7 linked regions of the Sus scrofa genome follow. The protein of the gene in region 1 interacts with the protein of each later gene in a pairwise test. Links are inferred from orthologs where the notes say so. Each region holds a gene or a part of one and is shown on either strand. Other genes may lie near its edges. The genes, in order: CREB3, CD82, SFT2D2, ORMDL1, AQP1, ATP6AP2 and PTPN9.

What was found.
Region 2: the proteins of CREB3 (region 1) and CD82 interact in a two-hybrid assay, tested with the Homo sapiens proteins (2 studies listed by BioGRID and IntAct). The two-hybrid records come from large-scale screens. The link is inferred for Sus scrofa from reciprocal best matches to the Homo sapiens genes CREB3 and CD82.
Region 3: the proteins of CREB3 (region 1) and SFT2D2 interact in a two-hybrid assay, tested with the Homo sapiens proteins (2 studies listed by BioGRID and IntAct). The two-hybrid records come from large-scale screens. The link is inferred for Sus scrofa from reciprocal best matches to the Homo sapiens genes CREB3 and SFT2D2.
Region 4: the proteins of CREB3 (region 1) and ORMDL1 interact in a two-hybrid assay, tested with the Homo sapiens proteins (2 studies listed by BioGRID and IntAct). The two-hybrid records come from large-scale screens. The link is inferred for Sus scrofa from reciprocal best matches to the Homo sapiens genes CREB3 and ORMDL1.
Region 5: the proteins of CREB3 (region 1) and AQP1 interact in binary tests that used the Homo sapiens proteins (3 or more experiments, as listed by UniProt). The two-hybrid records come from large-scale screens. The link is inferred for Sus scrofa from reciprocal best matches to the Homo sapiens genes CREB3 and AQP1.
Region 6: the proteins of CREB3 (region 1) and ATP6AP2 interact in a two-hybrid assay, tested with the Homo sapiens proteins (2 studies listed by BioGRID and IntAct). The two-hybrid records come from large-scale screens. The link is inferred for Sus scrofa from reciprocal best matches to the Homo sapiens genes CREB3 and ATP6AP2.
Region 7: the proteins of CREB3 (region 1) and PTPN9 interact in a two-hybrid assay, tested with the Homo sapiens proteins (2 studies listed by BioGRID and IntAct). The two-hybrid records come from large-scale screens. The link is inferred for Sus scrofa from reciprocal best matches to the Homo sapiens genes CREB3 and PTPN9.

The regions. Positions count from the first base shown.
Region 1 is NC_010443.5:236,449,147-236,453,372, forward strand, and holds the start of CREB3 (cyclic AMP-responsive element-binding protein 3), read left to right. Parts: upstream 1-1,426; 5' UTR 1,427-1,894; coding exon 1,895-1,909; exon of another isoform or gene 1,910-2,021; intron 2,022-2,112; coding exon 2,113-2,250; intron 2,251-2,355; coding exon 2,356-2,503; intron 2,504-2,579; coding exon 2,580-2,647; intron 2,648-2,763; coding exon 2,764-2,853; intron 2,854-4,226. UniProt on the Homo sapiens protein: Endoplasmic reticulum (ER)-bound sequence-specific transcription factor that directly binds DNA and activates transcription. Plays a role in the unfolded protein response (UPR), promoting cell survival versus ER stress-induced apoptotic cell death.
Region 2 is NC_010444.4:17,800,373-17,804,608, forward strand, and holds the start of CD82 (CD82 antigen), read right to left. Parts: upstream 2,801-4,236; 5' UTR 2,642-2,800; intron 1-2,641. UniProt on the Homo sapiens protein: Structural component of specialized membrane microdomains known as tetraspanin-enriched microdomains (TERMs), which act as platforms for receptor clustering and signaling.
Region 3 is NC_010446.5:82,731,633-82,735,810, forward strand, and holds the start of SFT2D2 (vesicle transport protein SFT2B), read right to left. Parts: upstream 2,801-4,178; 5' UTR 2,732-2,800; coding exon 2,669-2,731; intron 1-2,668. UniProt on the Homo sapiens protein: May be involved in fusion of retrograde transport vesicles derived from an endocytic compartment with the Golgi complex.
Region 4 is NC_010457.5:94,374,532-94,378,744, forward strand, and holds the start of ORMDL1 (ORM1-like protein 1), read right to left. Parts: upstream 2,801-4,213; 5' UTR 2,670-2,800; intron 960-2,669; exon of another isoform or gene 779-959; intron 769-778; 5' UTR 762-768; coding exon 588-761; intron 1-587. UniProt on the Homo sapiens protein: Plays an essential role in the homeostatic regulation of sphingolipid de novo biosynthesis by modulating the activity of the serine palmitoyltransferase (SPT) in response to ceramide levels.
Region 5 is NC_010460.4:42,073,942-42,078,049, reverse strand, and holds the start of AQP1 (aquaporin-1), read left to right. Parts: upstream 1-1,308; 5' UTR 1,309-1,498; coding exon 1,499-1,888; intron 1,889-4,108. UniProt on the Homo sapiens protein: Forms a water channel that facilitates the transport of water across cell membranes, playing a crucial role in water homeostasis in various tissues.
Region 6 is NC_010461.5:36,277,654-36,281,153, forward strand, and holds part of ATP6AP2 (renin receptor), read left to right. Parts: coding exon 1-57; intron 58-2,195; coding exon 2,196-2,327; intron 2,328-3,500. UniProt on the Homo sapiens protein: Multifunctional protein which functions as a renin, prorenin cellular receptor and is involved in the assembly of the lysosomal proton-transporting V-type ATPase (V-ATPase) and the acidification of the endo-lysosomal system.
Region 7 is NC_010449.5:58,140,676-58,144,175, reverse strand, and holds part of PTPN9 (tyrosine-protein phosphatase non-receptor type 9), read right to left. Parts: coding exon 3,205-3,500; intron 1-3,204. UniProt on the Homo sapiens protein: Protein-tyrosine phosphatase that could participate in the transfer of hydrophobic ligands or in functions of the Golgi apparatus.

The sequences.
Region 1 (4,226 bases):
TAAGATGAACACCACGGGAGTGTTAAAGGCAAGCGGAGTATTCTGAAAGTGGGTATGCATGACGGGTTGGGCGTGAACTGCAGGGCCAGGGAGGAGAGTTGCAGAGGAAGGCTTAGCATCTAGGGAGTGAGGGAACGGGGAGGCAGTAGGACTGAACTCTAGAGGATTAAGCCATCCCCTTCTCCCATGGCAAGCTTCCTTGGCCGGCCTTTCCCTTAACTGACCCACCAGGCCCCTCTCCCCTAGATAGTCCCCCATTTACTATGAAGCCTAGCACATCTCCTGGGTCCCTAACACCTTCCCACCTCCTACCTTGTAAATAACATGGTCCAGGAACCCCTGCCCCTCACCTGTGGTGGCCACAGCAAGAGCCTTGGGCTTAGAGAGTACAATGCAGCTGGAATCCCAGATGCCTGCAATTCTAGCTGAAGCTCAGAACCCTACCCTGTAATCAGTTTATCATTTCTCTGCGCCAAAGAAGCCCCCACGGCGACAGAGAAACAAGAGCCCTCCCTGCAAAAAAAAAAAAAAAAAAAAAAAAGAGCACCTGCCAATCTCTTAAATTTTACCTGCCTGAGGTCACCTACCCTGACCTCAGCCTATAACCCCTAAAACTGTCCTTAGTTCCCAACATTAACCCCGATCCCAATTTGTCTCCTGATGCCCAATACTGGCTTTAACATTCAGCTCTTTCCCAGCAGACACTTGAATCCAATCCCTGATCCCTAATTTTGATCTAAATTTTACCTTTAGCACCAAATCCCAACCTTACCCCTAGAGCTTGACCCCTGAACCTAAAGATCATGTGTCACTTGATTCCTGAGTCACTCCTTCCCCGTTTTACCCCTAACACTGGCTATGCCAACGGTCTCTAATGCCTAAAACTGGATCTCGAGCGCCGTTCCTGCTGCTGACCCTTAACCCGACCCTGGACTCTAACTCTGGCTTAGGCTGACCATCCTAGAACACAAAATAATGTCCTTAATCCAAACTTTACCTACCCAAAACGGACCTGACTCACGCTCATAACTCGAAATTTAAACCCCTAAAGCTAACCTTGGCTCCTAAACCCAATACCACCTAATCCCCAACCCACCCAGGGCGCTCCTACCCACATACCCGCCATCAGCCAACCTCAAAGCCGATCCCCGCCCTGCGTCGCACTGCCACCCACTCTTCACCCTCCCCCAAACCTATCCCAGACAGGGGGCTGCTCCCAGCAAGGGAGCAGAAAAGCCTCCCGCAAAAAGGCCTCTTGAACTCCCAGCCCAAGCCGAGAGACACTGGACGCTGACCTCTCCAACAGGACCCGAAACAGGAGACGCAGTCAAGTCAGGGGCCCCGCCCGCCTCCCGGGCCCGGCCTTGCGGCCCCACCCTGAGGCCCCGCTCGCGGCAGACCGGCCTACCTGCGCTGCCCGGCTCTGCGCCCCGCCCGCCGGCCCGCTAACCCGCTCGTTCTCCCGGTGGCTCTCGGGCTCCGGCCTCGCCCTCCCTTCGACACTCTCGGCCACTTCCGTCCGGGAACGTCCCCCGCCCGCGGGCGGCGCCCTGGGCCCGCGCTCTATGGTTGCGGGGACCGCAGGAAGCTGCTCTGGCCCCAGATCTCGATGCTCAGGAGCCGGCCGAAGACCCGCAGCCCCTCCCCGGCAGGAAGCGAGGGTGCGGCGCAATCCCAAGAAGACGCCCGAGCTGGGCCCGAGGTCCCGGTTGCGCGGTAGTCCTTCCTTTTCCTAGCCCGGGGCGAAGGCGGAGGCGGAGGCGGAGGCGGCTCGCCGGAATGCCCGCCCTCGGGGAGTGAGGGGCTGGCAAGGACGTCCCCTCTATTTGCATAGTGCCCGGGACGTGGCGTGCACCAAGGCCACTTCCGCGTCCGGGGAACTCCAAGTCCCGGGATGCCTCAGGGCTCGGTGCGTCACTTGTGTGGTGTTGGAAGTGGCTAAGACTCAGGCTGGGAGGCGGGTCGGGTTTGTGAGCCACCTCCGGCATCCAGGAGGAAAACCCCGCTTGCGGAGCCCATAGGTGTGGCCCACTGACGATCGGTGGGAGTCGTGCGTGGGGTTGGGAGTTGACTCCGGGTGTACTTCTGTGTTTCTGCTCATCCTTTCCGTAGATGTCTCATATGGAGCTGGGGTTGGACTCGGGTGACGATGACTTGCTGGGCTTCCTGTTAGAGGAAAGCGGAGGTCTGGGGGCGGCGCGGGACGAAGCCTTGGAGGCGCCCCTGGATTGGGAGCTACCACTTTCCGAGGTGGGGGGGGGCTCTGAGTCCGGGAGGCCCCGGGCGGGATGGAGGGGTGTCTCTGAGGCAGGGGGTGGTGATCAGTCAAAGTCTGTTAATCTGAACCCTGGGCAGGCATTGAGCGATTGGGACGTAGAGGATTTCCTGAGCTGCCTGTCGAGTCCCCCAGCATCGTTGACCGATTTTAGCCACTCTGACCCCTATCTTGTCCACCATGATCACACCTATTCCCTGTCACAGGAGTATGTCTCCATAGATCTAGGTGAGTCTGATAGAGGTGAAGTTTGGGGGAGGGGAGGGGACTATGGACCTGGCTGTTTATACTTTCCCTCTTGCAGATAATGAGGATTATGAGAAGGAAGGGGCCCAAATGACTTCCCTGCGTGTGGAGGCGCCCGCAGAGCAGGTAACTTGACTTGGTTTACAGGACGATTATTCCCACATTGACCGGGTTGGGGCAGGAGTCCGAATTTCTCTCTGACACCCTCTTGCACCTGTGCTGCCCACCTCTTGGAACCCCAGGAGATTGGTGAGCTGATACTGACGGAGGAGGAGAAGAGGCTTTTGGAGAAGGAGGGGCTTACTCTGCCCGGGACACTTCCTCTCACTAAGGTAAGACTCCCATTCGAGGAGCAAAGACTGGATGCAGGGGTTAAGTCCCTAGTAGGCTGACTCTGTTAATTTTATATCAGTAACTTGAGAAAGGACTGAGGCGAGATGCTGAGTCCAGCTTCGCAGGTAAGGGCTGAGGAACGGGTGCTGTAAAACTTGAGAAAAAGTTAGCATAAAACAAGACACAGAGACATTTATCTTAATTGCGGGTGGGAACTGGGGGACTCAAGGTCTCAGGGACCAAGAGCAGTGCCTCAAGAAACCACACTGCTTTTATTGTGCTCTTTAGGATTACATCAAGTGAGGAGGGGGTTGTAGGTGCAGGACATAGTTCTTTTATTATTTTAAAAGTCACATAGCTGGTAGCTGGTTAAGCTTTTATTCTGACCTTTAGGCATTAACAATCACTAGCATTGAAGAAGCTGGATATTAGCTCTCTGTGCATAGCACCTAGAGAATTATCATTGTGCTTCCACAGACAGCATGCCTATCTGCTGCAACCTGGCATGCCTAGGTTTGTACCTCCTTGCTGATGCATATTCTGCTAACGACCGCTCATAAACCCCCTGGGGCCTTGAGGCGCCTCTTCCTCTTATTTTAACAGGACGTATCATGCTGTGCAAACTGCATGCCTAGACCAACGCATTATGTCCTCATTCAGCTGACCACGTGAATACTTATGCCTTTTGGTCTTTGTTCTTAAGCTTAAATTATTTACTAGCATGGTGACTGTTTTTCAAGCTGGAATATGGGGTTAAGTAAAGCAGGACAAAATGGAATTTTCAGCATAGAAAATAGAAGCAAAGAGGCTAAGAAAAGATTGTAGAAACACGTCTCCTGACAGCGAGAGATTGGCACGTTTGTTGTTTGTAGGAAGCTGTAGTTAATATGCTGGATGCCGGGGCAGATCCTGGTTTTTGTAGGGCTTGTACAAACTTTGGTGTTCTCTTTAAGTAAGAATTCAAAATCATTAGTGTAATATTGGTATAGGGATTTGCAAAGTACTGTGGGAACAGGGGGGTCCTGACACTTAGATTTCACTAGTTTTACACTAATCCACCTATGGCTGAATGGTTAAGTTTTAGAATTCATCAAGGCTGGACTAAGGAGTATAACAAAAATAAATGTAAAATCCTGAGTTTTGCTTCAAGCAATGAGTGGCAGCTTCACATGTGCGGTATTGTGATACTATGATGAAATCAATATTTACTGATAGAAAGATAAAGAGACTTTAATTTCTTAAAAGTACAGTAGTGTGATATGACTACTAAGAGTGAATAGGCCTGGAGTTCCCGTAGTGGCGCAGTGGTTAATGACTCTGACTAGGAACCATGAGGTTGCAGGTTCGATCCCTGCCCTTGCTCAGTGGGTTA
Region 2 (4,236 bases), on another chromosome or scaffold:
TTCAGTGGCCTTCACTTTCTAGAAAACGCATCCAAATATCTCACCTTGGCATTCAAGGTCCTCCATGAGTGGAGCCAACCTACCATCCCCCCTTGACATCTCCACCCAGTCCCATCTCTCCAGCCAGACTGAGAAGTTTCTTAAAACTCCCCCGAATATGCTGAGCTCCTCGCCTTCCCCTAGGCATCTTCCTCTGCCCCAGACATGGTCTTTGCCGTGGCTGCTGGAACCTTCGCAATCCTCAAGGTCCATCCCAAACTCCACCACCTCCATGGAGCTTTCGTGAGGATCCCTCTGGCCCTTTCTTCATTTATCTCCTATCAGAGGCACTGGTCTCCTTGTCTAAGCCCCTTACCCGACGGCCGACCACTGGGATGGGGTCAGAGCGTCTGGTCCATCATTCATCATGTGGGCGGGGGGATGGGGGGGAGGACTTTCCAGAAGATGTTTACCAAGCACTGTTTGAAATGAACATCTCCCCACACAGGCAACACCTTCTGACCCCCCTCCCTCCCCACCAGACTGAACTCTAATTAATCTTAAGCCACCCAAATGCTTGGAGAGGGGAGTCTGTGGCCCGTTAATCCAAGCCCAACTGGGACTTCCCAGCTGGGGCAGTAAGTCCTGCTCAAGTCTCACCAACTCCAGGAAGCCCCTTTACCCCAGACCCTGGGTTCTCCAGTGTCTTTCTTCACCTGAGCACCACCCCTCCCATATATACACACGCGCTGTCTCTGCCATACAGTACAGCCTCTGGATCAGACTCTGTCCCATAGAGCTTTCCACCAGGTTCCAAAGTGTAGCACTCACCTCCCCAGGAGATGCAAGGAACGAGCCGCCATTGACGCCCAACCCTGATGGAACAGATAGCAGGTACCTACACTGCCCCTCATCTCCACGCCGAGCCAAGCACGCAATGGAAAAGCTGGATTCGGGCCACCGGAGCAGTCCGAATCCATGAAATCTCATCTGGCCTTGAGCTCTGGGTGTGAGTTATTCTCTCCAGCAGAACACAGTGGGGATGAGGGCCTCACTGTCAGCAACTCAAAATGCAGGCAGAACCTGGGACTGGCTAGTTCACCTCTGTATCCCCTAGCTCCACTTAGTGTCTAGTAAGTGCAAAGTAAACATTTTTGGGGGTTTATTTAACTGGACACCTAACAACTGTAAGAAATATTACTGAAAACTCAGCTACTTGTACACACTCCCCAATCTGCAAATGGACAAAGTGATGCTGGTGGCAAATGGCAAGGTCTGGCTCTCATAAGGTCAGGAGGTGCTGTCACCAGCGTCTGGCCTCCAAACACAGCCTCATTCCCAGGCAAGAAGCCAGCCTATCACCTGCTCATCCACATCAGAGCAGCTGTCATACAGCGAGGCCTCGGTGGGTGCCTCGGAGCCTTGTTAAGCGCTTTACATGTATTCTATTTTTTTTTTTTTTTTTTTTTGCCTTTTCTAGGGCCGCTCCCATGGCATATGGAGGCTCCCAGGCTAGGGGTCCAACTGGAGCTGCAGCAGCTGGCCTACACCAGAGCCACAGCAACACGGGATCTGAGCCACGTCTGCGACCTACACCACAGCTCATGGCAAAGCCGGATCCTTAACCCACTGAGCAAGGCCAGGGATCGAACCTGCAACCTTATGGTTCCTAGTCACATTCGTTAACCACTGTGCCACGATGGGAGCTCCTACATGTATTATTCTATTAAGTCCTCACTACTACCATTGAGTATCATCACTACCCCCACATTACAGATGAGAAAACCGAAGCTTAAAAGGGGAGTGGAATCCAAAGGGCCCGTCCTTGACCACTGAACTAGGCTGCCCAGCTCCTAGGACCCTGGCACAGAGCACCTGCCACCACCAGGGACAGAAACCACCAGCCCAAGGAAGGGACCCAGGGCAAGTAGCAAGAGACATGGCTTCTGGGCTTGACTCTGGGCCCAAAGTTAGGTGGGGTTTTCCCTTGTCTTCCCCACTCACCCAGATAAGAATTTGTCCCCTAGTTTCTGCCGGGGGCCTCCCAAGCCAGCTCACCTGGAAAAGCCCTGGGAAGGGCCAAACACCCGCTGAGTTTCCCACCTCAAGTCTTAGTGGGCTCTCAGAGTTGGGGGGGGAGGGGAGGCTGATATCTCTTTGAATTCAGCCGCCCCCCTCTGCCCCCACTTCCCCAGACCCGTGGGTTTCAAGTCCCATCCGAGGAACTAGTGTGACCTTTAAAGCAATTCGCTTCACTCTTGCAGTGAGTTTGCTTTGCTCCGTGTCACTCTGCAAGGAGACAAACTCTAGTCTGGGCGGCGCGATCTGAAGACCTGTTGTGTCCGCTCTCATCTGCCAGCCTCACCTTCCGGAGTTTCAGTGAGAAAGGTTCACCTGGTTCAATCCCCTCCTTTTACTGGAACCCGAGAGGTCCAGAGCTAGGTGGGGGGACGCGCCCGGGGTCACACAGCTGGTGCACGGCGGAGCCAGAAAACTGGGGGTCAGGACCCGGGAACTTAAGCTCCTTCTCACCCACCAGCTGCCTTCGGGGCCCAACCTGTCACTTGCTCCGAGAAAGCTGCCCGAGCGGCCTCTGGAAGTTGGGGCGAAAACTAACTTTGCTCGCTGTTGCCGACAGGCCTCCCCCCCCTCAGTTTCTCACCTGCTGGCTCTGCTTTTTGCTCGGCGCTGCAAGCCCGGCGTCTCCCGCTCGCGCCCTGGTTAGCGTCTGACCGCGCAGCCCTGGGTTCGGTCTCTTGGTCGTCCCCCTCCCGGCGGTCGTCTGGGAACTCAACGGCCTCGGCCAGCCCCGCCCCTGAAGTGACCACGCCCCTTCGACACGCCCCCTCGGCCTCTGGACGTGGGGACCGCCAGCCCCGCCCCCACACCCTGCAGGAATGTGGCCTGGCACCCGGCCGGATCAGGCCCCGCCCGCTATGGTCTCTCCGCTCTAACCCGCCAGCCCCGCCCCGTGTCCCGCCGGAGGGGGCGGGGGCGGAGCTACACTCCTTGCCCCGCCCCACTACGGCCCCCAAATCGATCCCGGTCTGCCCCGCCCCAGGTCACTCTGGGGAGGGGGCCGACCCCTGGGCCTGCCTCCTGGGCCGGGTCCTCTGTGTTCCTCCGGCTCTGCCTCGATAAAGGCCTGTCTGGCCGGCTCGGCGCTCCACCCCTGCTAGGTGAGAAGCCCCGCTCGCAGCGGGACCTAACGGTCCCGCCCCTCCTAGGCCTGCCTCATCCTTCCCGTCCCTCCCTAGACCCTCCCTCCACCACCCCCACCGCCGAATCCCTCTTCTCTGGGTGTACCCCCGCCCCCTAGGTTGAGGCCACGCCCCAGCAACGCCCCTTCCCCGCTTCAGCGCCTCCCTAATCCTGCCCTGCCCTGGCAACCTTGCTCTGGGCGTGCAGGCCTCCGGGCCTTCACGCTGGCATTCCAGGGCGGGCGTATCCGGGTGCAACCGGGGAACGGCTCGGGAGCGGTTTGCGTTCCAAGTCCCGGCCTCTATCAGGAGGTGGCTTGGACCTAGGCACTTTTTCCAAATACTAACAGCTACCACCGATTGAACTCTCACCAGGGGCCTGCTCTATGCCAAGCCCTGGCTTAGAAAAATAAAAGAACTGGCCACTGAATTCGCACAACTCTATCCCCAAATGTTGCACCTATTTTACTGAGCAACCTGATGCTTAGATAAGGGAAGCCATGGCTTCTGAGTCTCGCATGGATCAGGTAAGCAGGATCCACCCCCTGGCCTTGAATCGTAGGCAAGGCTTGACGCTGCACCAGCTTGCCTGGACTGGCCCCTAGAGCAGTGGCCAGGACCAGCTACTTGTTGGGGCAGTGCTAGCAGACTGCCTGAGGTAAGGGAGGAGGCATAGCTTGAGACAGGGGTGGCAGGAGGGGCACCTGGCCCACTTCTCAGAAGCTGGTTTTCTTCTTGAGAAGAAGGGGCTTAGAATTAGGATGGGCTGCAAAAGGTCTTTGGCTGCGGTGCCCCCACCTGCCTCCTGGCCCTCCACACTCCCAGACCCCAGGGATCAGCCTCTGGTTTCTGCGTTATTCCAGAGCCATTCACCTGTGCAGCTGACAAAGCTCTTTCGCTCCCATTATCTCACCGGCGTCTCATAAGGACGCCATTGTGGGGAAGGTATGATTATGCTGATTTTGCCTGGGTGGGGTAGGGCAGGAAGCTGGACACCAGCCCAGCGAGGTGGTTCCCAAAGCATGGTCCTTGGACCAGCAGCAGCAGCAACACCTGG
Region 3 (4,178 bases), on another chromosome or scaffold:
GGCCATCTGTGACTAGACATTGCCAAGCAAGTTTTATAATTCCCTAGTTTCATATGCAGGAGAAACAGAACTAGTCATACTTTTATTGTTTGCATTAAAAGAAGAACAATTTTTCATGGAGTTCCCTTGTGGTGCAGCAGGATCCAGGGTTGTCACTGTAGTGACTCAGGTTGTTGCTGTGGTGCAGCTTCAATTCCTGGCCCAGGAACTTCCACGTGCTGTGGGCATGGCCAAAAAAAAAAAAAAGAAAGAACAACAATTTTTTAAAGCAATCACTTCTGGTGACGTCTGACAGCTTTTAAAATTGAATGTGAAAAGACTTTAAGCACCCCCCCCAATCCAACTTCCCACCCAAAATAGAAATTTCAATAGAATCCTCCAGCTTTGCCAACCTTAAAACTATGGGAAATGTGAGACAATCAAGTCATTACCAACATTTTCAAGGAGGCCCTGACTTAATAAATAAACACTAAGCCAAAAAACAACCCTGAGAGTGAATTCAGCTGGTCATGAAATGCTTCCTGGGAGCTGGGGTCTCACGAAGTGCCACACAATGATGTACATACACAGGAATCTCATACTCAGAAAGAGGAAACCAACAGCAGTGTTTTAGAACATGAAAGAACCACCTAGTCTTTCTAAAATATATTTAATACATTCCCGAGCTTACACTTCAAAGCCCTTCATTGTGTCCAACACAAAGCATTCACCATTTCACGTAAAACCAAACTCAGCATTTATGTTTTCAATCTGTACTACATCATTCACTCGTAGAGTCTATCTACCACTTCATGATGATTTTTTGAATCACAGTATCTGCATCATCCCCACCTTTGAACTCCTCCCCAACCCCAGAATCCTCAGAAAAACAGCTCCCTCTTTTTTTTTTTTTTGCTATTTCTTGGGCTGCTCCCGCGGCATATGGAGGTTCCCAGGCTAGGGGTCGAATCGGAGCTGTAGCCACTGGCCTACGCCAGAGCCACAGCAACGCGGGATCCCAGCCGCATCTGCAACCTACACCACAGCTCACGGCAACGCCGGATCTTTAACCCACTGAGCAAGGGCAGGGACCGAACCCGCAACCTCATGGTTCCTAGTTGGATTCGTTAACCACTGCGCCACGACGGGAACTCCAAAACAGCTCCCTCTTGAACCACAGCTGCTCTAAAATCTTATGGACCGTTCATGCAGCAGAAAGCTTTAGATAAGCATAACTGTTGGCCACCTAAGTTTTCTTAGGCACAATCTGAGGTTTGGCTCCTGAGTTCATAACAGAAGCCAAAAACCAAGAACAAGGAACTCAAGAAATTACTCCTGAGCCTTGACCAATTAATAAAGGCAACAGATTTAAAAGAATCCACAGGCTGTTTTAAAATGTCAAAAGAAGTTAAACTCCAATTCCTACAACCCTCAATGCCTACAGTGTTACCTCTTCAAGGAGAAGAGTCAAGAGAGCACGTTTTAGGGTTCTGAGAGTTCATGGAAGGGGTGGAGGTATCAGAGTTACACAAAACTCAGAAAAAAATCAGCAACCCCAAAAGGGGGTGAAAGAAGCATGCTGAGATAACTACTAGAGACACTGATGAAAACTGGAGGAGAAACTTAGGTTATGAGTTGAAAGAAGCCATCTTGTTCAACCTCTTCATTTTACAGATAAGGAAACTGAGGCCCCAAGGAATACACCAGAGTAAAGATACATGTCACTTTATAATTTACAAAGGAAAATAAATAAATAACCAAAGCCGAAAGCACTAGAAATAGAAAATAAATATTCTGCGTGGCTCTAGAACATAGGGCATTTAGTACTCAGGCTTCAGCTCCACCAAACCTTTCTGATAAAAACAAACAAGCCTGCAAGCGGCCACACTATGGTCCTGGGCGGCCTTGGGGTCTATGTGCAAGCAGCGTGTGCACAGAGAAGCAAGATGTGGGCCCTGCCCTCCAAGAATTCATGGTTCTCCCGGAGATAGTTAACTTAAAGAAGAGGCCCAAGGTCGGCTGGGAAAGTCACAACCCACAACCTAAACTGGGCAGGAAGGCAGCCAGGAGCAGCACCGGGGCGTGGCCACAAGCCCCGTCGCGCAGTGGGTACCGAGCAGGGATGGATGGCCACCTGGGCCCCCAGTCCAGGTTTCTACCCAATGAGGACTCTCTCCGCCAGGCTGCCAGGAGACCCTGGCTAGCCCAGCCCTAAAGCCCTTTCCCATGCCAGTAGGGATGGGGCTGACGGTCGGGGATGGTCACCCTCCCCTTTGCAGATGTTTCTAGGTTTTGCTCCAGCGCGGCCCTCCCTTTGAGGGAGCAGGAGAGGCGAAGGGGAATGGGACGCGGCACAAGGCTGAAGGGATCCGGAACAAAAAAGGTGCCCACCGCCCTTCTCAAAGTGTCTGGGCCCCAGCACTTGACAGATGGAGAGTCGGGGAAGCGCGGGGGTCCTGAGCCCTGTAAGGGAGGAGGAAGGAACAGGGGCAGAGCTGTTTTCCAAGAAATCTTGGAAGTCCTGCTCACCTTTCCCACTAGTCAGCAACAGGCGCCCAAGTAGCTGGAGGCGGGGCTCCGGTGTCTGTTGGACACCCAGGCCCCAGCGCCCTCCCAGGCCCACGGAGACCCGGGCGGGGGGCGGCAGCTACGGGGCCAAGTAGGCGCGGCCTGAGGGCGGCGCACTCACCTCGGACAGACCGCCCCGGTCCTCGGCGTCCTGCCCGCTCAGCACCTTCTTCAGCTTGTCCATGGCAGGTCCGGTCCACCCCGGCCCCAGCCACTCGCCAGCCACCTGTTGAGCTGATTGAGGCGCAGGCTCTTCCGTGTGCCCCGCCCCCGCCAACCATGGTGCGCCCGGCCCACCACGGTGCGCCCCGCCCAGGTATCTGCCCTCCTGGCGGCTGCCAGCGCAGGCGCCCGGCGAGCTCTGCGCCCGCCTTCGCCCCGCCCGCTTTTACCCGGCTGGTTTGGGTCTTGGAAGGCGGGTCGGGAAGGAAGGTTGGGTTTCAGGTCCACCCAGCATGATTAAACTTCAGTCCGGCGCCAGGCTGCGCATGCGAGCCGGCTACCCTGCCGGGGTACTCGTAGGTTCAGTCAACAAACACGGAGGCCCTAGCACGTGCGAGACACTGCAGAAACAAAAACGGTGAATCCTGGACCCCCTCTCCTCTCGCCCCACACTTCCTGTGGTATGGATGCAGATTTGTAAACAAACGATGTGGGAAATCCGCGGTCTGATTGTAGTTACACTGGAAATAACTGTTTAAAAGGCACTTGTGTTCCTTGGTGGCTCAGCTGGTTAAGTATCCAGCCTTGTCACTGCCGCGCACTGCTGTGGCACCGTTCAATACTTGGCCCGGGGAACTTCTGCATGCCTCCCGTGCAGCTGGGGGAAAAAAAAGCATTTGAGGCCAACTGGAGTAAATCATATCTATAACATACTTTGTGTAAAAGTTAAACAAGAAAAATACTACTGTAATTCTAGCTGGGAATGCATCAAGAAGAATGATTTGGGTAAAAACTTGAACAGGTAGAACTTGAGTCAAGGAGTGAGGAAAAACATATTAGATTGTTTTGTGTTTCTTGGATTGTTTGTTTTACTGACCTCAAACCGGATTCCAACGCTAATGATTCTACGTTGGAGAATCCATGTAACTCCCAGGAAAGTGCTAGAGATGGGATGTGGGCTCACATCTCAAACTGCTTGCTGGGGAATATCTGGGAAAATAACTTCAAGGTGAAATAAGCTTAGGAGCTCCTGTTGTGACTCAGCGAGTTAAGGACCTGACATTGTCTCTGTGAGGATGGGGTTCAATCTCGGGCCTTGCTGAGTAGGTTAAGGATTCCATCATTGCTACAAGCTGCAGAGCAGGTTGCAGATGGGGCTCAGATCCAGCATTGCTGTGGCTGTGGTGTAGACTAGCAGCTGCAGCTCTGATTTAACCCCTAGCCCAGGAACTTCCATAGGCTGCAGGTGCAACCATAAAAAAGAAAAAAAAAGATGAAATAAGCTTAGAAAAACAAATCCACAGAGAGGTTACCAGGAGCACCCACTAGAGAATCTTCCTGCAGTCTGTCTCTCTCTCTCTCTCTCTCTCTCTCTCTCTCTCTCTCTCACTCACACACACACACAAGGGAGAACTTTTATTGAAAGAGTAGGAGTGCTGTGTCAGACTTGAGTGAATTTAAATAACTAC
Region 4 (4,213 bases), on another chromosome or scaffold:
TAAATGGGCAAATTTTATCTTATACCTCAATCAAACCGTTTTTCAAAAACTGAGTCGTGTCTTTCTTCTTTATAACATAAAACTTTAAGCTTTTTAAAAAACTGTGTTTAAATACACATAACAGGATTTCCCATTGTGGCTCAGTGAGTTAAGGACCGATGAAGTCTCTGTGAGGAAGCAAGTTTTATTCCTGGCCTAGCTCAGTGGATTAAGGATCTGGCTGTAGCAAGCTGCAGCATAGGTTGGAGATGCAGCTCGGATCTGGTGTTGCTATGGATGTAGTGTAAGCCTCAGCTGCAGCTCTGATTCGACCCCTAGCCTAGGAACGTCCATATGCCACAGGAGTGGGCTATAAAAAGAAAAAAATAAATATATTTAAATAAAAATGTACCATCTTAAGCATTTTTAAGTGTGCAGTTCAATGGTATTAAAAACATCCACATTTTTATGCAACCATCCACCTCCAGAACTTTTTTCATCTTACAAAACTGTATCCATTAAATAACTGCCTGTTCCATCCACACAGTCCCTGAAAAAACTACTAAACCTTAAGGTTTTAAGTGCTTAGTATAAAGTGAAATTCTTACCAGATTATGTATAACATTTGTTAAGGTCCAAGCAACAGGAACACTGAAGAAGGGAATGCTAAGTAAAACGATATGAAGCAAGCCAACTCCCAATGCATATGTCAGCCACATACCCCGGCTGTTCATTACCCGGGTATTTGGATTTACCTCGCTGTGGGCAACTCCAACATTCATATTTGCTCTGCAGGAAAGCAATGAGATGAATCAACACTGATATATAATTGTAAATCTGAACACTCCTAATTCTGACCTGACAAAATACGTGTTACTGACATTATTTTTTCTCTTTATTGTTCTGAACTAGAACAAACAGATGTACAAAATATGCTACTTGGAGATGCTGACGAATAACTCTAAATATTTGACTTTAAGGTAAGACAAAATTTATTTTTAAAGTTCTTGTTGAAAAAAATAAACAGTTAAAATCCCTTTCCTAAAACTCATCTCCTAGCATGTTGGTTTTACTAAATGAAATAATGGGTAGGAAAACTCAAACTGAAGATAAGACCTATATTTTCTTATATCATGAGAGCAAAGTGAAAGGAAGTAAATTTACCAGCAGAATACACTAATATAAAAAAAACTGAATACACTAATATAAAAAAAAGCTGACCCAACCAGTCTGAATAGCCAGACACTCACATCTAATATAATACTATATTCATAAAGAGTAGCCAGAGATCAAATCACTCCTTTATGAATACTGAGAAGGATGAGGAGGAAATTTTACAGGGTCAAGGGGTAAGGTTTGTTTCTCAATCTCGTGACAGAATTAGGTTAAAACAAGTATTCCACATATTTTAACTCTGTTAATTTCTCTAAAACTCTGGTTTTCTTTCTTTCACGAATTGTTTTTATTCTACACATTTTAATTATAGTTAATTTTTCTAAAGCTTTGGTTTTCTTTTCTTCCTTCCTTTCCCCCCTCCCTCCTTCCCTTCTTTCTGAGATTTGGGGACAAGGGGAAGCAGAGCTACATTATACTTGGAACAGCGCTGATTTAAAAATATATAAACTCTTTTCAGAGTTCCAGTAGTGGTGCAGCAGAAACAAACTGGACTAGGAACCATGAGGTTGCCGGTTCGATCCCTGGCTTCGCTCAGTGGGTTAAGGATTCAGCGTTGCCCTGAGCTGTGGTGTAGGTCAGAGACACGGCTGGGATCCTGCCTTGCTGTGGTGTAGGCAGGCAACTGTAGCTCTGATTGGGCCCCTAGCCAGGGAACCTCCATATGCCGCGGGTGCAGCCCTAAAAAGAAAAAAAAAAAAGTACATAAACTCTTTTCTATTACGTAATTAGCAGTGGGAGAGGAATTTCTCATAACTCCATCCAACAAGCATTTCTGAAGAGTTCATTGTCCATTTCTCCCTCCAAAAACATATAGGCTTACGGTAATGAAAGTTGGTTATGCTAAAACGAAACAAAAAAAGTCTCAATTTAAATGTGTAAACATTGGTTCTAATCTAAATATCCATCGTGTATCATAGCTTACTTTTATATGCTGTGAGTTCTACTTAGAAAATGTCGCCACTCAAAATGCTTTTCCCACTTTAAACAGGATAGCACTAAAAAAAAGATGCTCGAAAGAGGCTTAAAATTTAGATTTGAGCTGGAAGGCAAAAACTGACCCAACCCTATCCCAGAAAACCTTTTCTGGGAGTCTGCCGCGCCACTTCAGGACTAACAATGACTTCACAGAGTAAAGAAGACCTATAGGTGTCTGAAGACCAGGGACCCGCAGCGACCCCTTTGAGGAGCCTCCCGCCCGCCCGCCCGCCCGCCAGTCTCAAGCAGCCCTCCACCGGCGGCTGGAGCCCCCGGCCGGTGGAAGTTCAGCAAAAGCGGCTGCTGCTACTGCCACAGCGCCCCACCCCCGCCCCTTTCTTCTCCGAGCGGCACATCCAGTCAGGGCCCGGACCGGGACTGGGGGGCAACCCTGGAAGCCACTTGGTCCGCACAGCCACACAGGGTGCCGCGAACGAAGCCGGAGTCCACTTTTTTCCTTAAAGCCGACCCAGGCGCGCCAGCAGCTCCCAGTGCCACAGGCAGCAGCACAGCCTCGGCGGCCGTTCATTCCCACTCACCCGCCGCACTCTTGGGCGGCCGGCTCAGAGACGTAAGAAGTCCGCGGCAGCGGCGGCGTCTCCTCCGGCCGAATGCTTGTGGTCAGCCTCCGCGCAGCGGCGCGTGGGGCGGCGCAGCTTGCGAAAGCTTTCAGAACAGAACGCGCTGCCACCGGATTGGTTGAGGGCGGTGCCACTCCCACGTTCGCCCGGCAGGGCGGGACTAAAGGCACGGCGCTTGGAGCCCGCCACGCCGCGCGCCCGCTGGGGCTGAGTCGTAGAACCGCGGGGCCGGGGCTGGGCTCCTGCTGGGACGGTGCCAGGACCGCTCTTGGATTGTTAATTGCCCACCTTGAACGAGTAAGAAGGTAGTGTGGTGTGGCTAAGGGGCATCCAATCTTATATGGTCGTAGGCGCGAGAGCCTCCTACCCTCAACTTGTCCCGGTCGGGGCGAGAGCGCTGGCGGCAGCCATGGGTGACCCCTCCTCCCCTCAAGGGGCGGGAAGCGGATGAAGACGGGACCGCGGGCGCGCACACGTGGAAAGCGGTTTCCGTTCAGGTGTGGGCCCCTTAGTGCTTGGTTTGGCATTTCTTGACTAAATCGTGTTTAGGCCTTTGTTGCAGCCCATTCCACAGATCCCTCTGGCAGTAGGTCTCAAAGTTGTTTGCCAGGCAGAAACTTTACTCCCTCAAAGCCATAACAGCCTGTCTTATGAGTGAGTGTGACGTTTTTATAATGTTGTATGTTGTGGCATCATGCAAGTGGGGAAAGCAAACTTTTCAGTTAAGCATAATTTTTACTGGTGTTCTGGGTCTGTCTACATGCTGAACACAGGTCCTTGTTGTATATGCTGAGGAAATGTGGGTACCAAGAATTGATCCTTTTCGAGAATGGGGAGGAAAAAAAATCAGATTATTTGGCATCATGTTTGAAATCTAATTTTATTACCTTGTCAGTACAGCTTTCAACAACATCTCAAAATTGTTGTCAGACAATGTTGACTGTATATATCTTGCTTTTTTTTTTTTTTTTTTTGTCTTTTTCTAGGGTCGCTCCCACGGCATGTGGAGGTTCCCAGGCTAGGGGTCTCATTGGAACTGTAGCTGCCGGCCTCCGCCACAGCCCCAGCAACGCGGGGTCCCTTCCTCGCCTGCAACCCACACCACAGCTCGGGGCAACGCCGGATTCTTAACCCACTGAACAAGGCCAGGGATCGCACCGGCAACCCTGTGGTTCCTAGTGGGATTGGTTAACCGCCGAGCCAACACAGGAACTCCTATCGGTTCTGTGAAACCGATTGGGTTAGATTTATTATGTTCTTTAAATAAATTGTTTCATTATATTCTACTTAAAGTCTATGACTCTGATCTCTACTTCTTTTTAGGTTCACTGTTCTTAACTGATTTTCCTGATCATCAACACTCTTTCAGCAAATATGGAAGATTGATTCCTGACATTCTTAAACATTCTGTGCTGTGACTCCTAAGCCTTCCGCTTTTCAAAATATACCATTTGATACACATACAGTAGAATGCTTGTTATGTTCCAGAGGTCATGCTAGAG
Region 5 (4,108 bases), on another chromosome or scaffold:
GGAGACCGGAGGAGAGGACCAGGGAGGCCCCTCCCTCCTGGGGCAGCTTTGCCCCCAGGGCCCTGCCTGGCTCCTCTTCCCCGCAGACGCACTGCAGCAGCCTGGTGGCCTGGGCCTGGGGTTCCTGACCAGCCTCCGGCCCAGGAGTCCAGGTTCCTGCTCAGTTCACTGGCTGCCGCTGGGCCTCTGGCTTTGGCGCAAGGCTGGACTATGGGGCGGGGTGGGGGGCGGGCATGGTCTTTAGAGCTGCCTCTTCCCTCCCCCTGCCCCAGGCAGTGTCCGGTCCCTCCCCTTTCCCCTCTGCTCTCTCCTCTTGCTCTTCTGGATTCTCACCTCTGGGTCCAGTCCTGTGTCCCCTCTTTCCAGTGGTCTTTCGCGCTTTGTGCTGTCTCTGTCTCTCCTTCTCAGTCCCCAGTGTCTCCCTATCACTGTTTGGGGATCTGTTCCTTTCACTTCTGCTTCGGCTGATTCCACATCCCACTGTCCTTCCTCCTCCCTCTGTCTCTCTGCCTCTCGTTGCCTCCTTTGCCTCTTCCCCTCTGGGCCCCGGTGTCTCTTCCTCTCCCTTTCGTGCTCCCACCTCTCTTCCCCCTTTCTCTCCTCCCCTTTCCCTCCGGGGCTTTCCGGTCAGGTTGCCCTTCCTCCTGTCTCCCCAGTGGTCCACCAGCTTCATAGGCTTCGAGAGGAAAGTCCTTGCCTGCCCTCATCTTCCCCAGCTGCCGCAAGATCATTCGCTCAAATCAGAGTAGGGAGCATCCTAGCCTGTCTCAGGCCTGCCCTGGACCACAGAGTGGGGGGTGGTCTGTAGATGAGCTCTCTGTACCCCCTGATGCCTCTGTGTCCCCATCAACTGAGGCCTGGCCGGTGGTCTGAGGGTTCTGGGACATTCCTATGGTGACATTTAGTGGCCAGGTATGGGAGGCGCAGACTGCCGCTGGGGACCCCTGGACCTGTGGACTCCAGACTCAGGCCTCTCTGGGGTTGGATGGGGATGGCAGACCAGCAGGGTCATGGTGCCCGCCTCTAGGAGGGCAACGTCCACCTGCTGAACCTAGCCGCTCACCCGCCCCATCCGGAGCGCCTGGCTTTGCCCTCGGGCACCCCCTGCGCTTTGCACACAGGGCAGGGACACCTGGATTTCTCTGGCCCCCTGAGTGGGGCCAACTTGGAGGAATTTCTCAAAGCCTATTAGAGAAACGCTGCCTCCTGCCTGCCTCCTCGAGCTGGGCAGGGCTGAGGGCGGAGGGAGAGAGGGAGGGAGGGGAGAGAGGAGGAAGGGAAAAAAAGTTGGCAGGCCGACAGCAGAGCTGTGTCTGCATCCATCGCTGAGAGGAGGCCCGTGCAGTGTGGGGCGGGCCAGGAGCAAGGAGAGGCCTTCCTCCCTTTGTGCTCCCCCCCCCCGGGGGGGCCCTATAAATAGGCCCAGCCCCGGCTGTGGCTCAGCTCTCAGAGAGAGGCGAGCACCAGGCAGCCGTCTCAAGCCAAGCCCCCTGCCAACATGGCCAGCGAGTTCAAGAAGAAGATCTTCTGGAGGGCGGTGGTGGCCGAGTTCCTGGCCATGACCCTCTTCATCTTCATCAGCATCGGTTCTGCCCTGGGCTTCCAGTACCCCGTGAGGAACAACCAGACTTCAGGTGCGGCCCAGGATAACGTGAAGGTGTCGCTGGCCTTTGGGCTGAGCATTGCCACGCTGGCCCAGAGCGTGGGCCACATCAGCGGCGCCCACCTCAACCCGGCCGTCACGCTGGGGCTCCTGCTCAGCTGCCAGATCAGTGTCCTCCGGGCTGTCATGTACATCATTGCCCAGTGTGTGGGGGCCATCGTCGCCACTGCCATCCTCTCAGGCATCACCTCCTCCCTGCCCGGCAACTCCCTTGGCCTGAACTCGGTGAGTGGGGTGGTCCCAGGCGCCGGGGCTCTAGAATGGTGCTGAGATGCCGCCGGTTTCATCCTCTGCCCACTGTGCAGATGGGGATACTGAGGAACAGAGAGGACGAGAGGTTGCTGGAGGTCATGCTCAGTTGACCTGGAACTCAGCTGTGCCTGGGTCCAGAGCCCTTTTTCTTCCAGGCACTGTGGGACACGGAGACCCAGAGCGTAATGGTCTTGCCAGTGTCCCCTGCGGGCCTCTATTATGGGAAATAAGCTCTGGAGGCAGCTAGTGGTTGGGCCAGCAGCTCCTCACCCTGGTTTCTTGCTCCCTTCCACCCCAAGCCCTCCCTGTGCAGCAGCTGCCTCCCCATGCGGCCTGGACCCCAGGGAAACTCTGTCTGCTGTCCCCCGCCTCCCTGCACCACAGGCCGGGCATGTGTGTGGGTCCGTGACAGTGTGAGCAGGACTCCCCTGGGGCTGCTCCAGCAGCCCCACATTCGCACAGGTCCCCAAACCAACTGCCTTGAAGGAAAAAGCTCCTCTTGCTCTTCTGGCCCCAGGTGGGGGACAAAGATGGGGGTGAAAACCCTGTCTGGACAGTGTGCAGGCGGTTTTCTTGGATTACAGCAAGGGGCAGGGGCGGGGCAGGGCCCTCTCACCCCCTCTCTGGGTCCATTCGCGGTGGCCGGGCACTGAGAGGTGTGGTGTGTGGGTGGGTGTGAGCCGTGTACGCGCATGGATGGCCACCCTCATGGGTCTCCGAGCCCATGGAACCTGGGCACTCCTGTGTGAGTCTTTTTTGGAAGCGTGTCTGTGTCTGTGAGCCCGTTATACTGCTGGGCAGGCATGTGTGGGGGCGAGTATGTGCCTGCGTGTGCCCACCGCTCTCAGACTAAATGGGGCCCGGCCTGGGGGCACTCAGGATAAGCAGATGTGGGTGACCCAGCGGCAGCTGCAGAAAAGAATTCCTCCTGGGCCGCTTAGCACAGCTAATTGGCTGTTGGCGGCAGTTGCCTGCTGTCGCAGACCTGGGCTTTTCCAGACCTTCAGCCAAGTGCAAACTCAGACCTGGCTTGGGCCACAGCAGGGGGAGATTTGGCCTGAGAGTCTGGGTAGGGCTTGGAGGAGGTCTTAGAACACCGCAGCCGAGGGGGCGTTGCCACAGGGAGGGAGCGAGGCCAGGGAGCAGAGAGAAGGGATCAGGTGGGGTGTCGGCTGGCAGGGCCTGGGCAGGGCAGGCGGGTGTGGGGACAGTAAGAGAGGGGCCAAGAGCCCTGCAGAGACCGCAGGGGGTGATCAGAGAAGCAGCTCTTGCTTCCCAGTCAAAGTTCAGCTCCTGGTGCTGCGGCTCGGGGAGGCTTGGCCAGCTCCGGTGCGGAGGGCAGCTGGCATGAGCCTGCCATGGAGGGATTAGCACTTCTTGTGCCACAGTGACACCTCACCCAACCCGGGGTTGAAGATTAGCCCTGTAGACTGGAGTTTAGACTTTAGTCGAGAAAGAGGTGGGCATGGTGGCTGTGAGGGACAGAGCTCCAGCAGGCTGCGTCCCTCCAGGTCTATCTCTCCAGCGGGGGCAGAGCCGGGCAACATCGGGGAGGGCCCGCCGGGTAGGGTTGGGATCACCTTGGGGCTTAGCTGGGCAGGATGGGCGTGGGGATAGGGTCCTCCTGGTGGGAAGCTGAGTCTCCCAGGCCTCTCGGCCCCCTCTTGACCCTCTGTCTCAAGGACCAGGCAGGCAGGTGTCTCTAAGCTGGCCATCCCAGGCAGACGTGGGAGGGCGGGCTCCTCTGTGTCATCTTGATCTGGCCACGCCCTCCTCCAGTGTCCCGTCCCCTCTCTGGCCTTCATTTTCCAGAGTTGCCCCAATACCTGAGCCAGGCGGGTGGCAGATGGGGGAGAAAAAGGGACAGCATCGTGTGGGGCCCAGCCTAGACTCAAGTCCTGGATCCTACCAGCTTGTTGGGTTTCCCCGAGGCTGAGAGCCCTGAGGCTCCAAGAGGGGACCTGGGTCTCTGGATATCTCCTGGCCACATGTGTAGTACCAGCATGCTCACTCTAGGTCTTGAGTTTATCACTCTTCCCAGGGCGGTCTGGCTAAGGGGAGCCCAAGAGGGGCCGTGCTAAGCATAAGGGCACTGAGCACTGTGGCGGGACCCAGGGCAGCCCTGTCCACACCGTGGAAGTTTGGGGTCTGGCAGGGCACAAACAGAGAAAGCATCCCCGCCAAGGGCTCCCG
Region 6 (3,500 bases), on another chromosome or scaffold:
CCAGGAGAGCGAATCCCAGACGTGGCTGCATTATCCATGGGCTTCTCTGTCAAAGAAGTATGTGTATTTTTCAAAAATATTTGGAGCTGATTCCGAATGCATTTTTGTTGATTTCTGCCCAAGAAAGCAACGGGCAAACATAGATTCAGATTACAGAAGTAAAAAAGCTAATTTGTAGTCAGGGAGATTTTGGATAAGTTTTCCAAGCTTGGTTATGAAAACAAATCATTATAAAACATTAACCATGTAATCATTTATTCATAGTAGTGACACTGTGTGTGTAAGAGAATGCATCTGTCCTATTGTTAATAGGTTGTACAGTTTTATTGGTTTTTTTCCAGTATGCATGATAGATTTGTGTCTTAGTTCAGGCTGCTATTACAAAGTATTCGAGACCGGGTGCTTTATAAACAACAGACATTTATTTCTCACAGTCCTTGGGGCTGGAATTCCAAGAGCAAAGTGCCAGCTTGGTAGGGTTCCGGTGGAGGCCCTCTCCGGGTTGCAGGCTGCCAACTTCTTGCTGTACCCTCGCAGGTGGAGAGAGCCTGAGAGAGCCCTCTGGAGTCCCCTTTATAAGGGCTCTGTTCCCATCCCTAAGGCCCCTCTCCTAATACCATCATGTTGTGGGGGTGGGGGTATAATTTCAACATAGGAGTTTTCAGGGGACACAAACATGCAGTTCATTACAGTTTGTTATGAATGATAAAATGTATATGCATCTTACCTGAGTTTAGGGAAAGGGTGTGGTCAGCAGCTGTGGGTAGCTTAGGACCTTGGTTTCCCACAATTCAGCCGTAAACTGTTGTGGTAGGGAGTTGTTCTGGCTCAGTGGTAACGAACCCGACTAGTATCCAAGAGGATGTGGGTTCGATCCCTGGTCTTGCTCAGTGGGTGAAGGATCTGGCGTTGCCTTGAGCTGTGGTATGTATAGGTTGCAGACACGGCTCGTTTCCTGCGTTGCTGTGGTGTAAGCCAGCAGCTACAGCTCTGATTCGACCCCTGGCCTGGGAACCTCCATATGCCACAGCTGCAGCCCTAAAAAGCAAAAAAAAAAAAGAAGAAAAAAACCTGTAGTAACTGGCTGCTTACATGATTATAGACCAGTCAGCATGAGAGACCTTGAAGCTCAGAGCTGGAAGAAAGGAGACGGGGTTTGTTCTGTCTTCCTATCTCCTCCCACGTTAAAGTTCGGTGCTTTTGAGGGGGTTTCTAGATATCATCAGTCACTCAAAAGAACATTCTTCCTAGGTCCTGAGTGCCCTTGAAGCCAGAAGCAATGCCTGGGAACTGCTTCTCTGCTGGGCCTTTGGGTGGAGCCCCTGAGCTCCTTGCCTGAACCTGACCAACTGTTTACATTAAGGATGAAATTTGTACCTGGTTCTTGACCAACTTAAATTTGACTACAACTGGCGGTCAGAAATAATTATTAATAAACTGCTATGAGTTACTTTCAGCAAGAATTTTGTTCTCCTCATAAAGAGCCTAATCTAAAGAGAATGTTTCTATTTTTTTTGTCTTTTTTTTTTTTTTTTTTTTAGGGCTGCACCCACAGCATATGGAGGTTCCCAGGCTAGGGGTCCAATCGGAGCTATGGCTACCGGCCTGCACCACAGCCACAGCCACACCAGATCTAAGCCACATCTGCGACCTACACCACAGCTCACGGCAACGCCGGATCCTTAACCCCCTGAGCGAGGCCAGGGATCGAACCCACAACCTCATGGTTCCTAGTCGGATTCGTTTCCGCTGCGCCATGACAGGAACTCCTGAAGAGAATGTTTTAATGTCAGTCTTGCTGTGTCACTGTGAAGGAGAAAAGCGGTGCTGTAGATAAGGGCAAAGAATGATGCGAGGGAAGAAAATGTCCATGGAGAAGGGAATGTTTTGTAATCTGGAATTTGAAAAGTATCTACATTTTGTTTACTTGTCTGCTTTTTTTTTTCCCATAGAAGGTTTGAGATGATTTATTAGACTTTATTGTTTCAAGTTTATAGAAGCTTAATAAGAAAATAAAGGTAGAAATCAGCATCCTCAATTAGGAGGTTGCAGCTCCTGCCTTAAATGAGACGTTTGCTGTCCCTGTGGGTTTTCAGTGTCATCCCAGACCCCTTAATGCTGCTTGGTAGGTGTTATTGGGGAAGTGGTTTCCTGAGTTGACAATTAAGCACAGTTTCATGCTTTTCAACCTGTAGGACCTTTCTTGGCCGGGCCTTGCAGTGGGTAACCTGTTCCACCGTCCTCGGGCTACCGTGATGGTGATGGTGAAGGGAGTGGACAAGCTCGCTCTACCCCCAGGCAGCGTCATTTCATACCCTTTGGAGAATGTGAGTATTTGTTCTAAAGGATTAAAGGGATGCATTTAAAATTGTGTCTTGTCAGCTGTCATTATGGATCATGTTCTAAAGCATACTTTTTGTCTTTTTTTTATGCACTGATAAGTAAAATACAATTTTTTTTTGATTATGTGATGGTTGTAAAGGTATTGAGACTTGGCTGTTTCCTCTGGCTGAGCATACTTTCTGAGGTAAGAGGTAGAGAAAATGCCCTACTCAGAATGGTCAGAGGCTTGAAAAAGAGAAATCAGTTGAAGGGTATACCCTGCTAACATTTTCTTAGGCATTATTTCATCACTTTGCTTTCAGAATTTTATCCTTTTTGTGCAAGAAGGAGACTGGAGGCCATTTTGCTGGCTCACTTATTTCTTCACTGGCCTTTGAGGCAGTAAGGCTGACTGAGCTGTTGTGAGAGGCCCTCCTTCCACTGTAGGTGGATAGAAAGACATCTTCACATGTACCACTAAACTTGAAAGCAGGGAGGGGGGACACACAGGTGGCAGATATGAATAGAAGATTGAAATCCACAGTGGTGAGCAGGAGCCGAAGGTGAAATTGTGTTCCCTGCAGGAAAGCAGGGGCTCTCAATGCTGTTTTGTTCTTGAAAGGAGGACTGTCAAAACCTCAGCTGTCCCTGGGCTACCTTAGAGGAGCTGGGTGGCCACCCCTGGTTGTGGGACCCAAAGAGGCCTCTAAGAGAAGTTGTAACTCTGGGCTTGTGCTGTGCAGCATCTGGTGCTCCAGATTCACACAGCCCACCCCACACAGACACTTCCACAGCCCAGGGCTCCTTTGCTAAAGAAAAGAATTGAAGAGGAACTGAGTTTACCAAACACTTGAAGGAAAAAAAATGCCACAAGAAAGTCATCAGGCGCAATAGACAGAATTCATCCCCCTAGAACTACAGATAATAATCCAGTCTCTAAAAGAAATGTGAAAATACATATATTAAAGTTGTGAAAGAGTTAAAAGGGAGGGATAGGAACTACAGGCAGTTAAAAGAGTTTTTGATATGTTGGTGCTTTCATTGATACTCACTTGAATATTTTGTAATTTATATTGATTTCTTTAACCCATGAGTTATTTAGAAATGTTGTAACATATGGGTTCTTGCAAAATTTTTGATTTTTCAGCTTCTCATTTCATTGCATTGTAAGACTGGTC
Region 7 (3,500 bases), on another chromosome or scaffold:
AAACAGTGACTACATCCTCACCAGGATGAAATGGTGAGGATGAAAATGGATCATTCATACACTGCTGGGAAGGATGCAGAATGGTACAGTTGGGCAGTTTTTCATAAAACTAAACAGTTACTGTATGACCTAGAAATCCCACTCTTGGACATTTATCCCTGAGAAATGGAAACTTATTTTCACACAAAACCTAGACACAAATATTCATAGCAGCTCTATTTATAATAGCCAGAGACTGGAAACAACCCAGATGTTCTCTAACAGGTAAACAGTAAACAAAATATAGTACACCCATACTATGGAATATTACTCAGCAATTAAAAGGAACAAACTTTGATAATAATAACAACCTGGGGCACTCTCCAGAGAATTGCACTGTGTGAAAAAAAGGCAATCCCCAAAGGTTACATACAGTATGATCGCATGTATATAATAACATTCTTAAAATGGCAAAATTATAGTAATGGAGAACTGATTAGTGGTTGCCAATGGTTAGGGATGAGGAGGGGTGGAATGGAGGTATTTGGTTATGGAATTCTACATTTTGATGGTGGTTTTCTTTTGCTTTTTTGTTTATGTTTGTTCCTTGATTCGATTTTTAGGGCCACAGGTGCGGCATATGGAAGTTCCCAGGCTAAGGGTTAAATCAGAGCTACAGGTGCTGGCCTACATCACAGCCATAGCAACATAGGATCCTAGCTGCGTCTGTGACCTACACTACAGCTTACAGCAACGCTGGATCCTTAACCCACTGAGTGAGGATGGAACCCGCATCCTCATGGATACTAGTTGGATTCATTTTCGCTGAGCCACGACAGGAACTCCCTTGGTGGTGGTTTTTTATACACAAACTTATGCATGTGATAAAAATTGCAAAGAACTAAATACACACACACAAACTAAAACTAGGGATATCTGGAAAACGTTGGTGGACTGTTGTTGGCTGTGATATTATACAAAACTTTTGGAAGATATTACCATGGGATAAATGTGGAAAGGCTACAAATGATCTCTCTGTATTATTTCTTATAAATGTATGTGAATCTATAATTATCTCATTATAAAAAGTTAAGCTATAAAAAAAATAATTTGAAAGAATGGTGTAGGGGGGGAAAAAGTCTCTTAGTCCACGGGCATCCTGGACAACGGTGAATACTCTGACATGTACTCTAAAATCTAGAATTCCAGTGGAAACATTCTGTTCTGTGTATGTATTTCTACTGGAACTTGGTGAAAGACAGAAGCCTGAAGCTGTTGAAGATTCTGGATTCTAACTCCTGAAGTGGAATGTTTCCATTCATATACTTGAATAAAACTGTAAAAAAATAAAAAAGAAATAAAGAGGCAGATGTTCCCTTTGGCACAAGTTAAGGATCCAGCATTGCCGCAGCTGTGTAGCAGGTCACAACTGAAGCATGGGTTGGATCCCTAGCCTGGGAACTTCTACATGCTGTGGCATGACTAAGTAAATAAATAAGACAGACTGGGAAGTTCTTCCCATAGGACTGGGATGTATTCTCTGATTATAACACGATAGCTGGCTTGAGTGATGCAGAGGACAATTCAAACCCACTTTTTTTTTTCCAGCTATACCTGAAGCATGCAAAAGTTCCCAGGCCAGGATGGAATCCATGCCACAGCAGTAACTAAAGGCACATCAGTGAGAACCCTGGATCCTTACCCCACTGAGCCACCAGGGAACTCCTCCAAACCTACTTTTGTAACAGGGGGTAAGGGGAATTGTGGTAGAAGTGACACCTCAAGGACCCCTCTGCAGGAGCACCTAGAGCAGGTCAGGAATCCCCAGGATAAGTGTGCATCCTCTGCTACAGCTAGGAAAAAGCTTTAGATGCATATAGGGGTGTTGAGTTGGTAAGGAAGACACAGTTGTGTGGGAGAAGAGACTATTCTCCCCACATGATATATGCTCTGCTCTCTTTTTTCTCTATTTCCTCTCCATTATTCTTCTGCTTATTGATTTTTTTCCCTCAGTTGCTTCTTTTATTTCCTTTACCTACTTCCTATCTCATTATTTTTCCTCTTTACTCACTCCCTGCATATCTTCTTTACAGCACACTGACTAAACTGGATATGAATTTTAAGGGGAGGAGTTCCTGTTGTGGCTCAGTGGTTCATGAACCCGACTAGCAACCATGAGGAAGCAGGTTCAATCCCTGGCCTCGCTCAGTGCGTTAAGGATCTGGCGTTGCCGTGAGTTGCGGTGTAGGGCACAGACATGGCTCGGATCTTGTGTTTCTGTGGCTGTGGCAAAGGCCGGCAGCTGTAGCTCTGATTAGACCTCTATCCTGGGAACCTCCATATGCCAAGGGTGAGGCCCTAAAAAAAAAAGCCAAAAAAAAAAAAAAAAAAGAATTTTAAGGGGAAAAAGGTACCACAGAATCATTACTCCTAAAACATTAAAGCTACAAAAGAGTAAGTGGATATCAGTGAGTCTAATATCAAATACAACAGGTAAACGGAGGTACAAAGAAGGGAAATACCCTGGGTAAGTCATCGGGGGAGCTCTGGCTAAGCTGAAACTTGAGCCTAGGACCAATTGGGGAGAGATTCCTTAATTTTCAACAAACAGATCTTAAAACTTTAAAGAAAAAAAAAAAATTCTGCTGCAGCCAATGAAAACATGCTAAGATAAAGGAGAGTAGCAGTTAAAAATGATCAATGCTCTACTGCCAATAATAATTGTCAAGTAGTTATAAATCAGTTACAGAATTTAGGTAGAAGGAAAATCCCACAATACAAATTCCTAAAGACAACTCTTCTCTCTTACTGAGAGTGGATTATTTTAAATGTATCAGCACCCCTCCTTACAAAGTGATGTAATACTAAAAATGCTCTAGGGAGAAACTGCCCAAGTGAAAGGACCAGAGATCACACAAGGACAAGAATAGATAATCTACCTTTTTGATCCTAGGTCAGGAAAATATCAAAAATGTTTCCATTGGTACAGAGTTACTGCTGGTACCAAAGACTTCCAGAAATTTCAGAGCACAGGCTCTTGGCAACAAGCACAAAGAGGTGCCTCTTTCTAGATGAGAGAAACCATCATCTAAGTGAGAGGGATGCTCCTTAACATCACTTTACGGAAGAGTCTCTTTTAAGGAGGTGAGGTGTGGAAGGAATTGTGCCAATGCATGCCAGAAGCACCCTGGCAAGTGATCACTGGCCTAAATCTTCTCTACTTACATGGAACAGTGGAAAGTGCCAACAGGGTTCTCACGACGGATGTCTTCATACTCTTCATATATACCCCGCTTCTGCCTGGTACTAACATAGTCCATCAACTCCTGGATGGTCATGGCATGGGGATCTGGAACATGCACTGAGTCCCAGTCTAAGGCTGGCGGGAGGGAGAATAGGATGATCTCATCAAAGGGATCTGGGTGGCCATTCATCTGGGATAGAAACTGGAAATTCCAAGTGGCAAGGTCGATTTTGACATATCCACCCAGGTTTTCTGGAAGGCACTCCCTGGGAAGGTG